2 linked regions of the Mus musculus genome follow. The protein of the gene in region 1 interacts with the protein of each later gene in a biochemical or structural test. Links are inferred from orthologs where the notes say so. Each region holds a gene or a part of one and is shown on either strand. Other genes may lie near its edges.

Evidence for each region. The genes of interacting proteins can lie anywhere in the genome.
Region 2: the proteins of Acta1 (region 1) and Gc are reported together in a solved structure, tested with the Homo sapiens proteins (2 studies listed by BioGRID and IntAct). The link is inferred for Mus musculus from reciprocal best matches to the Homo sapiens genes ACTA1 and GC.

What each region holds. Positions count from the first base shown.
Region 1 is NC_000074.6:123,889,659-123,897,428, forward strand, and holds Acta1 (actin, alpha skeletal muscle), read right to left. Parts: upstream 5,118-7,770; 5' UTR 5,034-5,117; intron 4,854-5,033; exon of another isoform or gene 4,764-4,853; intron 4,052-4,763; 5' UTR 4,040-4,051; coding exon 3,911-4,039; intron 3,813-3,910; coding exon 3,488-3,812; intron 3,337-3,487; coding exon 3,175-3,336; intron 3,078-3,174; coding exon 2,886-3,077; intron 2,753-2,885; coding exon 2,571-2,752; intron 2,495-2,570; coding exon 2,351-2,494; 3' UTR 2,100-2,350; downstream 1-2,099. UniProt on the Homo sapiens protein: Actins are highly conserved proteins that are involved in various types of cell motility and are ubiquitously expressed in all eukaryotic cells.
Region 2 is NC_000071.6:89,453,124-89,460,769, forward strand, and holds the start of Gc (vitamin D-binding protein precursor), read right to left. Parts: upstream 4,776-7,646; 5' UTR 4,596-4,775; coding exon 4,538-4,595; intron 1-4,537. UniProt on the Homo sapiens protein: Involved in vitamin D transport and storage, scavenging of extracellular G-actin, enhancement of the chemotactic activity of C5 alpha for neutrophils in inflammation and macrophage activation.

The DNA of each region.
Region 1 (7,770 bases):
GCGTGGTCTCTTTCTTTGCCCACTTACTTGCTTTCCATTTCACTTTAATATTTTAATACTAACATGACATACATGTGCAGGGAATATTAAGTTGGATGGAACATGGAAGAATTCGGGGGGGCAGAAAAGGAAAAAAACCCACAAACCCAGCCCTCGTGCTCCCCATAGAAGCTTTGTGGTGATTTGTCACTTTGACCTAATTCCTTTGTCCATTTTGCCCTTCGTTTTGTTCTTTTTTTTATGGCTCAGATGGTCCATGGACATGTTACATGCCAGCTTTAGTCTGCAGGGCCTCCAGGCCCCCTGGCCTTCCAGCTGGTGTTGTCCTCTGGGGACTTGTGCAGGACAGCAGCTTGGAACAGAGCACCAGGGCTGGGACTGGGCTTCGGCTGCTGAGGAGCTTGCATAACATATGATGTGCAAAGCATTGGTCCCACCCCCCAGCTCCATAAACTAGGCATGCAGGATATCAACAACTTTCTCCAAGGGCATGAAAAGATGCAGAACACTTAACGAAATGTATGACACTTGCTCCTTTTCAAAGAAATATCAGGAAAAAAAAAGGAAACTTTAGGCTTGGTACGCATCTTGAGTGAAATTATATAGCTCATAATTTTTGTACCCGTCTCAGTGGTAAACTGAGTCTTAGACTCTGACCGGTGCTCAGGGAAGTGATTCTATTTCAGAGTTCAAACTTTTGTCAGCTTCAACATATCTTGAGCTGCTTGGTGATTGCCACTGCAGGAGAAATGGGTCATTACTCTGCTATGTTCATATTTAAGTCCCTGGCCCCAACATGCTCAATACGGCAGCTAACTTAGAGAATACTGATCATTTCCTGGGTGATTTGCTGTGCAAATTATTCAGGCTGTGGATGAGGTTTGTCCAGCATTGGGTCTCAGCAGGCCAAACATCTTTGTTTATAGTTAGTATTATCAATGCAATCAGAGTTCCTATATAAGGCTAGAAATTGGTCTATCTTAAACTCTCCTCCGTGCTGAGTAGGACAGACATGTGGCTTTCAGTAAGTCTGGCACCGTGTGCTCATTGTAATAAAGTCGGAAGCTGTATGTAGAAGCCAGATCTTTTGAACAGTACCCTGGGGTCCTCAGACATTTCTGGAGTTTGTCAATAGAAAAGGAAGAGAGAATAAGCCCTCAGCTTTGTGGCAGATAACAGCTACACAGGCTAGCCTATCTGTGAACATGCTTCTAAGTGAGCTGGTTTCCTTTCTTAAGTTGGCACCTGTTTTATTTAGACCACTGCCCTTGGAAATAGTGACTGGGAATAGTAAGATACTTTTAACAGCAAGTTGAGACTGGTGATGTTAGTGGGATGCCAACCATAGAGAGGCTGGGGAGGAAGCATGGCTGAGAGTTCAAGGCCAGCCTCTACTACATATGAGATCATGTCTAAGAAATGGGATAAAAACAGGTGTAGTTCTCTCCTGGGGAATCTCAAACTGTCGTGGTTTGTATCTTTAAAACGTTGGTGGTGGCTGGGATGTAGCTCAGTGGTTGTGTGTTGTCCTAGCATGCTTAAGGCTCTGGGTTGGGTTTTTAAGATGGTAAGAGGTGACCAATTCTTGGGCTTGTGTCTTCTACGAGCCCGGCTGCCAGCCTTGGACTTTGTGAGGTGCTTCCATTCTGGATTGACCAGATTCTCCTTTGTCCTCCCACCCGGGCAGCTTCTCCACAGCCCTGCAAGAAGAGCGTTTCTCTGTGCCACCAGCATTTGATTGAAAGGAAGGGATGGTGATTGTTCTCATTACACACTTGTTAGGCTAAAGGATCCAATTTCCAGCCCTGGCAAGAGGCGCTTCGGGCAGCACCACGGCCAGCGCCCGCCTGTTCGCAGCGGGCAGTGGCCGTCTCTTAAAGGGGAAGATACTTTGCCAAGCAGCCAGGGACCAGGCAAGCCACTTAGATCCCCTATAAGGGAACTGGCTATGATTCAGAAGGGAAAACCACGGAGTTTGGGTGAGAAGACCTAACTTTCTAACTTCATTTCCTAAGGAGTTCACCCAGTCTGTGAACAGTGAGAGGTGGAGACGGGTCCTTCGCCTGCCCACTGCCTACTCCCAGTAAATAAAGACCACACACAGTTTATTGGAGCAAAACAGAATGGCTGGCTTTAATGCTTCAAGTTTTCCATTTCCTTTCCACAGGGCTTTGTTTGAAAAATAACAAAATGAGGTAAAACGAGTCAATCTATGTACACGTCAAAAACAGGCGCCGGCTGCAGTGGCGGCGATGGAGCCACGGCGGAGGACGGGGCCACCCTGCAACCACAGCACGATTGTCGATTGTCGTCCTGAGGAGAGAGAGCGCGAACGCAGACGCGAGTGCGCCTAGAAGCATTTGCGGTGCACAATGGAGGGGCCAGCCTCGTCGTACTCCTGCTTGGTGATCCACATCTGCTGGAAGGTGGACAGCGAGGCCAGGATGGAGCCACCGATCCACACTGAGTACTTGCGCTCAGGGGGGGCGATGATCTGCAAGACAAGAGTGTCACGTGCCTGCGTGTTCCCCCCGCCCCTGGTCTCCACCCACACCAGGCACGTCATCCACCTTGATCTTCATGGTGCTGGGAGCCAGAGCTGTGATCTCCTTCTGCATGCGGTCAGCGATACCAGGGTACATGGTGGTGCCCCCTGACATGACGTTGTTGGCATACAGGTCCTTCCTGATGTCGATGTCGCACTTCATGATGCTGTTGTAGGTGGTCTCATGGATCCCCGCAGACTCCATACCTGGTGTCCGGGGGAGAGGCAGTGTGAGCAACCGCAGAGTCGGGCTAAGGGACCGGCGGGTGGAGACCCCGTACTCTGTGGCGTGGGGCGAGGGAAAACTGATTCCCGCACACCAGCGGATCGGGCGGCTCACCGATAAAGGAAGGCTGGAAGAGCGTCTCCGGGCAACGGAAACGCTCATTGCCGATGGTGATGACCTGCCCGTCGGGCAGCTCATAGCTCTTCTCCAGGGAGGAGGAAGAGGCAGCGGTGGCCATCTCATTCTCGAAGTCCAGGGCCACATAGCACAGCTTCTCTTTGATGTCGCGCACAATCTCACGTTCAGCTGCAGGAGCAAAAGCAGTGGGGGGCCTCAGGGCAAGGCCTGGGGCGTGTGCTCACCCTCTGCCCGCCCTCCCTCAGCGGGCATTGGAAGCACGCACCTGTGGTCACGAAGGAATAGCCACGCTCAGTGAGGATTTTCATCAGGTAGTCAGTGAGGTCGCGACCGGCCAGGTCCAGACGCATGATGGCGTGTGGCAGGGCATAGCCCTCATAGATGGGCACGTTGTGGGTGACACCGTCCCCAGAATCCAACACGATGCCTGTGCAGGGGAGAGGCAGTATGTGAGTGGAGGGGACCAGCAGGCGGCGCAGGTCGGGATACTGCAGAGGATTAAAAAGCGGGGCTGGAATGTTGGAGCAATCCTACCAGGGCCAGCGTGGGCCATGTGTGGGCCATGTGTGAGCGCTTACCGGTGGTACGGCCGGAAGCATAGAGGGACAGCACCGCCTGGATAGCCACATACATGGCAGGCACGTTGAAGGTCTCAAACATGATTTGAGTCATCTTCTCCCGGTTAGCTTTGGGGTTCAGGGGGGCCTCGGTGAGCAGAGTCGGGTGCTCCTCAGGGGCCACACGCAGCTCATTGTAGAAGGTGTGGTGCCAGATCTTCTCCATGTCGTCCCAGTTGGTGATGATGCCATGTTCAATGGGGTACTTCAGGGTCAGGATACCTCGCTTGCTCTGGGCCTCATCACCCACGTAGGAGTCCTTCTGACCCATACCTACCATGACACCCTGCAGATAGAGACATCAGACACTTGTTACTACAGCCAGGGGTGAGGAGAACATTGGCTGGATTCAGAGAGCCTATCTTTCCCTGCCAGCAGCCTGACCTGGTGACGGGGTCGGCCCACGATGGATGGGAACACAGCCCTGGGGGCATCATCCCCGGCAAAGCCAGCTTTCACCAGGCCAGAGCCGTTGTCACACACAAGAGCGGTGGTCTCGTCTTCGTCGCACATGGTGTCTAGTTTCTGCAAAGACAAGGTGTTGAGTGCTGTGTATATGTGATGGGGGGGGGGGGTTAGGGTGAGGCTCCGCTTAACCCATCTTCACTTTGGAGATCCAAAAACTCCTTTCCCCCTTCCCCTTCCTTGCACGGGGGTCAGAGGATGCTCTTCCAGCTTAAGGCTGTGCTTTCGCTATGGGGGAGCTGTCTGTGGATCACACTAAGTCCTCCAACTAGGCATGCAGGGGATATCCTGAGACCCTCTACATTCATTGTAGGCCACCACACACACCACAGCTAGCACTAGTCCTATCCTCTCTGCTCACAATCTCATCTGTGAAGGAGGTATTAAGGCACGCTGCCCACCACCTGCCTGTCCTGTGAGAGGGTCGAGGATTCTGCCCGGGGAAGGGCGATATTGTCACAACTATGGAAAAGCTGTTGAACACTCACAGCATCCCAAACTCAGAAGAAACCCTTCCACCTGTCTCCCATTTCAGAGAAGAGTAGCCAGGGTTGCTGCCCTTTAGAAAAGCCTTGATCTCAAAGGGAGTCGCCCCAAGGCTAAGGCCAGGCTTGACTCTCTCCAAGCTCATCTTCAAATCAGTCTCCCAGGAGCTGGGGTGTAGCTCAGTGGGAGATCCAGCCAACCTCTTGCATCACAAGAGCCCAGATTTGATCCCAGCAGAGAAAGAGGGGAAAGGGGAATGAAAAGCCGGAAAGAAATCTCAACCAACCAGAGGCTGGCGTGTGGCTCAGTAGGAGAGCACCGGCTTGTTCACTTGCAGGACTTGGATTTAGTCCCCAGTAAGAGGGGAGGGAGGAGTCTGCGGGTGGTAATGGATAGATGTCAGACCCCCAGGCATATCCTAAATGCCCAGTCAGCAGCCCAAATGGGCTGGATGTGAGTTTGGAGAAATTTCCAGAACTCAGTGCTAAATACAAGCCCAAGGCTCAATAGCTTTCTTTGCTGGGTCTCCAGGTCACCCTCCCCACCTCCACCCTACCTGCTGCTCTGACTCTGGCCCTGGGTGCCGAGGGTAGGAAGTGAGGCTTCACGTCCGTGTGACCGCCTGTCCCCTTGCACAGGTTTTTATATAGTCCCGGGAGCTCTCCCCACACCGCCCCGAAGGAATGTTGCTGCCCTTCCCAAGCCATATTTGGGTGTCGGGCACTAGAGTCCCTTCCTTCGGCTGGTTCTCAGCCTGGGTCCCCGCCCGGGTCTCCTGCACTGACCAAAGAAGGAGAGGACTGGCCCTGGCCCAGGTAGCTAGGACCGGACCAGGCCGTATATGGAGAGTATCCCCAGCTGTCTGCCCCTCCCAACTGGCTCCAAGGCTCACGGAAGGGCTGTGCTGGGCCAAAGGTCACTGCTTTGCAGACTGCTGGTCTGTACTTCCCAAGATTTACCTGTTTGAAAGGTCTCCCCAGTTCTGCCCACCTGGACACACGATTGCTGACCTGCCACAATGCACCCCATTTATGGGTTCTTAACTCAGACTACTAAGCCTTGATGCTTAAGCTCAGGGGAGGTAGCCCTGTGGTCAGGTGAGCCGGGAGGAGTCATGGGCTCCAGGTAGGGATGGAAAATAAGCCCCACATTTGAACTCCATTTTCTTTCCCACTTTGAAGCTCCCCCAATCCAGAGATCTGACACACATCACCCCCATTCACCCCCACAAGGCTGTCAGTCAGTGTAGGATATGCAGCTGTCACTGGGCAGACAACTGGTGGAAGAGGGGGAGGAGGTAGTGAGAGGAGGCATGGGGACTATGTGGCCCTGGCACACAGAATGGGAGGCCAGGGCATTAGAGCTGTCCCTGCATTCTGCAGTGTACTCTTGAAAGGAATGGAAGGGTCAGTGTGTGTGTGTGTGTGTGTGTGTGTGTGTGTGTGTGTGTGTGTGTAAATCCCAAACTCGGGATTGACCGTCATCGAGTTGGCTAGGCTGAGCAAATGCTACCCCTTCTTTGGTGGCACTAAGCTTCCCTCCCCTGGGTCTGAAAGAAGGATCATACCTGGAACTGTTGGGACCTAGAGGGGGCTGAGGCAGAGAGAGGTGCTGATGAAGATATACCTTCTAAGGAGCACTAAGACCTTACACTGGTGCCCAGGAGCGGCCCCTCCCAGGCAGACTCATCTTTATATTTAGAGGATGATGCCCGTCAGCCCGGCTGCTTCCCATGCACCTTGGGGCCACCACCTGCCAGGCTTGTGTGGGTTCTATTTATACCGCTGATAGATGGGAATCTGCTTTTGGGTTTCTAGAAGGAGCAACTTATGGAAGCTGGGATGGGGGTGAGTAGAGGTCATCTCTTGGCGCCTGTCTCAATTTGGGCAGGGAGAGGGATAAGAAAGCCCAAAGGAAAAGTGTTCTGTGACCAAACAGGCGACATGCTTTGAGGGGTGTGCATCAGAGCCAAGCCACCATGGAGCCATTCACTTTTCTGATGGCTTAAGCGCTCCCAAAATAGCTGTTCCCATTTGGAGTGGAACTTAGCAGCTGGGACAGGTGCAGAGCCTCTGAGAGCAGAGGCTCCATGAAGCGATTTCAGGATCCCACACAGCTCTTCCTAAACCTGAGCTGCACTGCCTAACGGGCATCAGCTCTGTGGCTTTGCCTGTGCCCTGGGCCAGGACCTGGAACTGTTAAAAAGAAGCAAGCAGCAAATGCAGACTATGGTCAGCTTTGGGGGTGCTTACATTTGGGGCATGGATGTAGGGAGAATTGTCCAGGTGACTGGACCTCATCGGGCCGGGCTGTACATACCGCCCCAGACTCTCGAAAGCTCTTGCTTATCCCACTATGCAGATTTCTCAGCTTTGCGTGACAGCATAAAGTGGACCTTGAACGCAGTGGTTTGCGAACTACAGGAAACCTGCGGCCCCACACCTGGCGCAGCAGCAGGCAGGTGAGTAGGCAGGTAAACTCTAGGTTCAGCTGCACCCTTTCCTTTCCTGACAGTTTTTCTCTGGAATCCCGGCTAGGTTCTCGCCGGCTGTCTTCTTGCTGGGCCCTTAAATGCTTGTGTGCAGGGCACTTACGCCACCATGCGACACACCCACACCTCTTCTTAATCTCCCCCCCCCCCCCTTTGCCCCTTTACCCCTCACATCCTGTAAGTCCTTGCGGTATCTACCAGAAGCAAACAGGACAACTAACAGGCAGCACGGCAATCCCTCAGTCCTGTTGCAGCCTAGGCTTGTATTAGCATCAGTCTGTCTTTCCCTAGTGAGCAGCAGCACAGGTCGGCTCTACCCTTTCAACTCTTGCAGCAGCAGTTCTGGAACCTCAGAGCCTGACAGGGAAGGCACGCGTGTCACAGGACAGGACAGGACAGGAGAGGGAGCTGGTCCCCTCTCCACTCACACTGGGGACTGAATTCGGGCTGGGCGGCCGAGCGTAAGGAGCTGGTTCTTACAAGTGAAAAGCAGACAAAAAGAAAACCTCGTTTTTATTAAGGCAATGCAGATGCATGCAAGGACCTGCCATCCCAGCAGGAGAAGGAAAACTGGAGCTCCTCTGAGAACAGAAGTCCAAAGGTGTGCTAAGTACTCACCATTGCCCACACAATACAAAAGGTGGTCGACTGAAGCTCATTTCAAAACAGAAGCCCAGCTTCCAGGTCCACCAGTTACTTGTGTTTATTTTGGATATGAGCTCAATGTCAGGCTTCACACGCCTTAAAAAAATTGTTCTAGCCAGGGCTGGTGTGTACACTTGCAGTTTTAGGACTTGGGAAG
Region 2 (7,646 bases), on another chromosome or scaffold:
CCCAGGTCCCCTAGAAGAGCAGCTAGGGCTCTTAAATATCGAGCCATCCCTTCAGCTCTGCCATCCTCCCCAATATTTAAAGGAAAAACAAGGGAAACAAAATGAGATAACCCACAGAGTGAGAGATATTTGAGACTACATTTACAAGAGATTACTATTAAAATAACTGAGAAACTCATCTTTGCAGCAAGAAGACAATAAAATTCTAAAATGGTAAATGACTTAATTAACATTTCATAAAAGAAGAAATACAGATACTTGAAAAACTTTTAGCATCTATCTATCTATCTATCTATCTATCTATCTATATATATATATATATATATATATTAACAGGTATTAGAAGCCTTCTCAATACCACAAGCACCAGGGAAATGTAAATCAAAATCACAATATATCACCTCACACCTGTGACAATTATTAAAAGAAAGACAGTGTAGGGATGCAGAGAAAGAGGGACCAGCACACAACGTTTATTCCTGAGGATGTGCCTTGAAGCAGCCATTATAGAAACAGTGCACCCATTCCTGAAAGAATTTAAAACACAACTATTATACTGCATTGCCCAGCATACTACTTCTGGGTGATAAGAGATATGACGTCACCATATTAAAGGATCCCTTGAATTTCCATGTTCATGGCTGCAACATTCTTCACAAGAATTAAGATATTAAAGTTACATGTGTGAGTCAGTGGAAAAATGGGGAAATGAAATATGCTGTTGACATGCAATGTGTATGTATTTCAGCCTTATGAAAGGACATTCTATTAATTAACAGCGTGCCTGATCTCTAAAGTCATCATATTAAGTATAAATGGCTAAAAACAGAATAAAAAACATGTAAAATGATTCTATCCATGGAATCTGAAGTGTGAAACTCATAGAAACGAAGGGTGCCGTGAGGGTTATTATGAGGCACAGGCTGTGGGGATTGGAATGGAGTTGTTGGTCCAAGAGGTTCAATTAGATTGCAGAAATCATTCTTGAGACTTTTAAAAGAACATGAATTGTAGATACTGTGTATACTAAGCATGTTAACAATGGTAGACACCCATGAAGAATTTATTTCTTCATTACCAATGGTTCTCAACCTTCCTAATGATGCAACTGTTTAATATAGTTCCTCATATTGTGGTGAACCCCAGCCATTAATTTATTTTGCTGCTACTTCATAACTGTAATTTTGCTACTGCTATGAATTGAAAATATCTGATATGCAGGATGTCTGATATGTAACCCCCAAGGGAGTTGCAACCCACAGATTGAGAGCCACTTTTCTAGATAAATTCCACATTAGCATTTGATTTCACTACTGTCATAACCTTCTAGTTGGAGTGCTGGAATTCCGTGACTACAGCATGAACCATCAAATCTGGCTCTCAATGTTCCTATGATTATCAAAACTCCATTTAAAGTGGGTACCCAGATTCTGTGGCAGTATTCAAAAATTTCATTGATCACTTACTGTCAGTCACTAGAGAACTGCAATGGGGGCTAAAACTGAGTTCTCCATTTCGTGTTGATAATTATAACAAACAGATAGTGGGGGGGGACCCCATTGTTAAGTTAAAAGATCTCTTTATCTTCTTCCTATTATAGGTGAAACTCATGGTCTTCTAAAGGGTGTGCATGTTAATTCTTATACACATAGCGGTGACTGCACTCCTGGCATTGTGCTTTGTAACCATGACATTGCTATTGGTTTGCAAGGAGGCTAATGTTTCTTTTGATGACAGCAGTAACTACTTTTCTGACTTGAGAGCTCGTTTGGAGAGATTTTGTAAAGGAGAAGAAGAAGAGGAAATGTAGCTTTACCATCTTTCATTTTTCTTTCCCAGTTTGGTGTTATACTTAACAGAAACTTGGATGCAAACCAGTTTAGTAGTCTATAAGAGCTTATTTCCTATTGATAATTATGTTCTTAGTAACTGTAAAGCTGCAGCAATAGTTGGTTCCTCTTACTTACTTTGGTGTGGGAAGAGGACCTGGGAAGGTCAGCTGCAGGTTAGCGCTGCTTCTGTTTCAGTTCTTGGGAAAGAACATGGATCAGCCAGCAAGAACTGCCTCTGCACGTCTTGGGCCAGCTGAAGTGTCTGGTTTTCTATGACTTGGTAGATTTCCTAAGTCAGTTTCCCCGAGATAAACCTAGTTCCTAAGAGGGAGAACTTTGTGTTGTGGCACAGCGGGTTTAGGCCCAGTTTGGAAACTGGATCCAGTTTCCAAAAGACAGCTTCAGATTACTGGCTCTTAGGAAAGGTCAAGTGTCTTTAAAAAACTGATTTAAGTAGGGTTTCTTGTGGACTTACCATTGCCTTGTTACGGTGGACACATTGATGGTAAACCGCTAATCAGTAAAGAACGGCTACTTTCTCAAATATGCTGGACCGAGGGAACAGTTTTCAAGCTATGTCTTGAGCACAGGGTGATTGAAATAGTGTTTGAGGAAACTGTTAGGTCTCTCAGAATGTCAGACATAGAGAACTACCACCACCCCACACCTCAACCCGCATCCTAACCCTCTCTCTAGCCAGTCTTGCGGCCATTCTGAACTGGAAGCCAGCTGCAGTCTCAGTCTGTGCTCTACCACTTCCAACCAGCAGGGGGCATGCCCAGACTCCATCGGATCATAGCATGGCTCCCGCTGACGCAGTTGTGGCTCCGGATGCCACACTTGGTGTGGTAGAATAGGGAACCACAGATGAAGCATGTCCTGGCAAATACTTTGTAAATGTATTTTACATGGCTCTGGGTCTTGTCTGGTCTACAGGACACGGGCTATACGACTTGAGGGAACTGATTTGATCTCTCTCTCCCCTCTGCCCCTCTCTCTGCCCCTATCCTTTCCCTCTCGCTTCATTTGTTTCCTTTGGGACTATGGCTGCTGAGAATGTGAAATAAAGGTGGGAGACTGCCTTTATGTCTGCAATTTTGAAGCTGACCCAGGGGCTGCCTGCTGAGTCCAACCCTAGCACACCCTGGGATTTTTGGTTTTGGAGACTGAGTTTGAACTTGCTTCAGTAGCATATCTCAAGGTTATATGTATCCCCAGACACTTACAAAGGCGCTTTCAGGGCTGCGTATGGCACCACCGCTTACATAATTCATCTATTCACTAGTACCTATTTTTCTAAGATTTGGTAGTCTCCACTCAGGACTTATAGCTGTAGTAAGCATATGCAGATGAATAAAAATGAATTTAACATAATTTAAATAACAAAATAACTCACATAAAAATGTGAATGCAGGGACTAGAGAGATGGTTCGGTGGTTAAGAACACTCACTCGCTGCTTTTTCAGAGGAACAGGGTTCAATTCCCAGCACCCACATGACAGCTCACAACTACCTGTAACTCCAGTTCTAGTGGATGGCACTCCCACACAGGCATACATGCAGGCAAAACACCAACGCACATAAATTAGAAATAAAGTCAAGACTGAGTTTATTCTTGCCATCATTAATAAGTGATAATTCCCAGGGAGGCATATACTGCTGGTTAAATGTGTTATTACTATAAATATACATGAATGGTTTGAATGCTGCTGTCAAGAAAGAGTACTAAATGAACATCTTAATTTGACAAATCAGAGTGTGTGCAGATGCCCTTATAAGCATCAAAAAATAATCCAGAGATGAAAATTATTCAAAGGGAAATCTATAAAATAACACCTAAACTGTACAATAAAAGGCTAAATTAGGGTTTAGAGATCATCTGGAAAAAAATCAATGGAAACATCTCTGGAAAGTTTTCCAGTTGCAGAATTTATGAAGTTACACACATGTCCTGTGACCTGCTAGCACTGTCGGAAGCCTCAGAACACTGCAAAGGCCAATGTCCCAGGGCAAGGGTGATTTCCATGAAACACCACCCCTGTTACCTTGTTTATTATTTTATTTCAGAGATACTAAAGTTTCTTATTTTGTGTGAGAGGTATTTTTAAAAACTCTCGTTCCTTGCAACTGCTGAAGAGTACGATCCTCTAAGGAGGATCAAAGAGCTCTCTCAGCTGGCGTCTTGTACCACTGACATCGTGATGATACCAAGGAGGGTAAGCATTTGGGAAATAAAAATGCTTAGTTGTGTACCAGAGGCCCCGGTTGCATTATAGATCTTACTTATCCAATGTGGGGAGGAAAACTGAAAGCTTACATAACCCTACTTTCTTTTAGGAGTTGTTTTGCTTGTTTTCAGATGGTCTCGGGCAGCCCAGACTAGCCTTGAACTCCCTATGCAGCCAGTTCACCAGGGAAACTTGAAATCCCAAGATCCTCCCACTCTCACCTCCAGTGTTCTGAGGTTGCAGACATGCACCGCCATACCTGCCTCTATCTTTAGTGAGCTACTTATTTCTTATGTGTGGGGAGCATTTCTTACTAATGCTACATGGCCCAGCTGAGCTCAGATCGATCCCTCTTTGTTCCTTCTTTTATTGTCTTCTAGAGCATCCACTATTTCTTCTGTTAGTTACTCTTCAAGTTTTAAAGTGGCACTGGGAAATTAAATTAGCAATAGTTCTTAGTGAAAAGAGGAGCCTTACCTCTCTCTAGAGCGTGCCCAAAGGCTAAGGCCAGCAGGAGAACCAGAACCCTCTTCATTCTGCGACCAGAGAGTCTTGCAGCACCTCCTCTCACCTGCCGGCCACCACGCAAAAGGCAGGAGCACAGGATTTGCAAACGATCCTAACTAGAAACTCATCAATTATTAATCTCTGCCCAGAAGCAAGGGACAATCAGCCTTGTTCCCAAAAATAGATAGTAATATCATCATAAGGCAAATAGATACCCCTGGGGAATATGGAGGAGAGTCTGGGAGGTTTTAATCATTAACTTTGTCACTGGGAAAAGCCAAGGCATGTGGATACTTTCCCACTGCAGTTTTTCCATGGCATCTACTTAATGTACCAGTAGGGGTACACTTCCCTATTCTATATGGAGGAAAAGATATGTCTATGTCTTCTCTGGGTACTCCCTACCACTCCTATGTATTGATGGAAAAATTGGGAGCTGTGTTTCTTCCTTTCTTTTTCCTCCTGTTCTCCCTTTCTTTCTCTCTTTAAATCTAACACAAATAAGCATTATTTTAAAATATCACAGATTAGATATTTTAAGTTATGAGTAAAGAGCAAGAAGCCAGTTAATTTATTGCAATTCTCTAACTCCATGAATTTAATGTCATTAGGTAATTGTGGTGACATCATGCCTTATATCTATGTGTTACAGTGCACTATTGAGTATATGTTTAGAATAGCTCTTGAGATGAGAAAAATAATAGATGGAGAGCTTCAATGGCTGGCTTACCATTGCACATGAGCATGTGAGTACCCACCACACACACTCACACACACGATGTGATGTAAAAATCTTAGGACCACTGCAGATCAGTTAGAGATCCCTCTACTACCATGTGTTTGACATATTTTATAATAGCATAACTAAAAAATTCACAGGGACCTTTTAGGACTTGATATCTTGCATCTCTATCTTAGAAAAGAGAGTCTTCCCTCATGTGAATCCTGTACCTTGCCCAGAATGTCAGATATTGATCTTACACTGACATTGGGTCCTCAGGTTCAGGAACCACAGTCTTAGCCAGCTCTTATTTCTGAATAATATAGATTTATTTCTCCTCTCTAGACCCATTGTTCAGTTGTGAACTCTTAGGGGGGGGGTTGTTGGTTTATTTGTTGTTTATTTATTTATGTATTTATGTATGTATGTATGTATGTATGTATGTATGTATGTATGTATGTATGTATTGCTCTTCCCTTAGTGTGGGATTAAGATGAACCATGTGCCGGATATCTAATGCATGTTTGCACGCATTAATGTTCTTTCATTTCTCCTAGTTATTCTCCCTGACTACTCATGTTTCCAACATCTGAGGATAGCATAGGAACCACGGAAATCTACATTCCATTTGAAGATTTAAAATTCAACCCCATGTCTGGGCTCTTAAAGATAGGTGCCTGAGAATGCCCTTACCAATCAATTCAGTGGTTAAAGATTAGCTGTGCAGACAGAGTCCACCAACATCTCAAACCACAGTAAACAGTTACCTGCTTAGTCAGATCAACAACTGTATGGGAAGTGAGTGGGTGTTAGGTTCAGTGGTGTAAGATTAAATAGGAACTATTTCTTTAAAAGCCAGTGGAACCCACACAGCAGAAGATATCAACAGAGGCCACAAGCATTGCTGAAGACACACAGGCAGCTTCCTGCTCACCCACTACCTGCGTTCTGTGTAAAGGTTAATTTCATGTGTAATACAAGCCTGCATGATTTTCTTTCCCTTGCGAAAGTTAATTTAAAGGAAGTTTTATTCTTAACTACAAATATTTGGAAACAGATGTCTCAAAATATCAAAACCACCAAGAACACACAGATTGGTACAATTGTTAACAGGTTTGTATATTTTTAATGCCAAGATTACACTATAAATATCATTAGAATCTACATAGTATCTCAGTCATGTTCTCATAATTTGTTTTTTAAAAGATACATTTAGACTGTTTTCCATGAGTGCTTGCAACAAAATTTAAGACTAGCCCATATCTATTTTTTTTTTCAAATTATAGCTCTATCTGTGTTTTGGAAATACACTCTTGCTGTTTAATGATAAACTACATGTTGCAAGAATTGCAACATCTGAATTAGGCACATTCTTGAGAAATCTCCACACAAGCTGCCAAAAACAACTTTCAGGGATGCATCTGTCTTTTTCTAACTGAAGATCAGCACAAATGCACCCATTTCAGTCTGACCTTGGTGTCTCTTCTTACTCTTCTACTGCTGTCCTAAAGTAGAGCAGAAATACACAAAAGTGGCCTAAAGGACACCTTGTGTGACAATTGTTAGTAGTAAATCTAATGTGAAGAAAACTGAGACCAAATCAAACTTCAGAGCCTGTAATAGAACAAGCATTGTAGAAACTGATGAATTTATTGTAGAGATACACATTTAATTAAATATTTAGGTAGTGGACTTGTACAGGCATGTTCTTTATATAGGTAATTTATTTAGGAGTGAAGATGGCTCCAATGCTCTTATCTGACCTTTGTGGGCACTTGCACATATGCCACACACACACACACACACACACACACACACACAAATTCAAATGAATAAATCTTAAACATCTTATCAAAAGTGGCTTCTCTTTTTTCTCTGTCCTTCTCTTAGCTTCAGAGGAAACGTAGACTCTTGTCCTCATCAGGGGAAGCTGGGAGGAGAGAGGAAGCAGCAGGGCCATTCTTTAGTTCTTCCTGCTGCATTTCTCTTTTCTAAATGGCTCTCAGGTCTTGCACTCTGAACTAAACCAGTGTCTCTGGCGTCTGATGCTGCCAAAGACTGCAGGGAAATGCCCCAATACCTTACTCCAGTAGAAATGACTTCTTCCTGGGAGTTCATCTGCCTTGTGACCTGTATTCTATTAAATTTGCCATCAAAATATTTGTCTGATAACTGATAAATTGGATAATAATATTTTAAATAATATCCCACATTTAAAATGTATCTACCACTCCATAAGTTATTATTTAGAGTGTTGAGTCTAGTTAGCAATTTAGAAATGCCTAATGACTAACAGTGATGATCACTTGTAGTGTGGCTGATTGCTAAATTCTATTTTAACCTAACTGAAATCTTGTG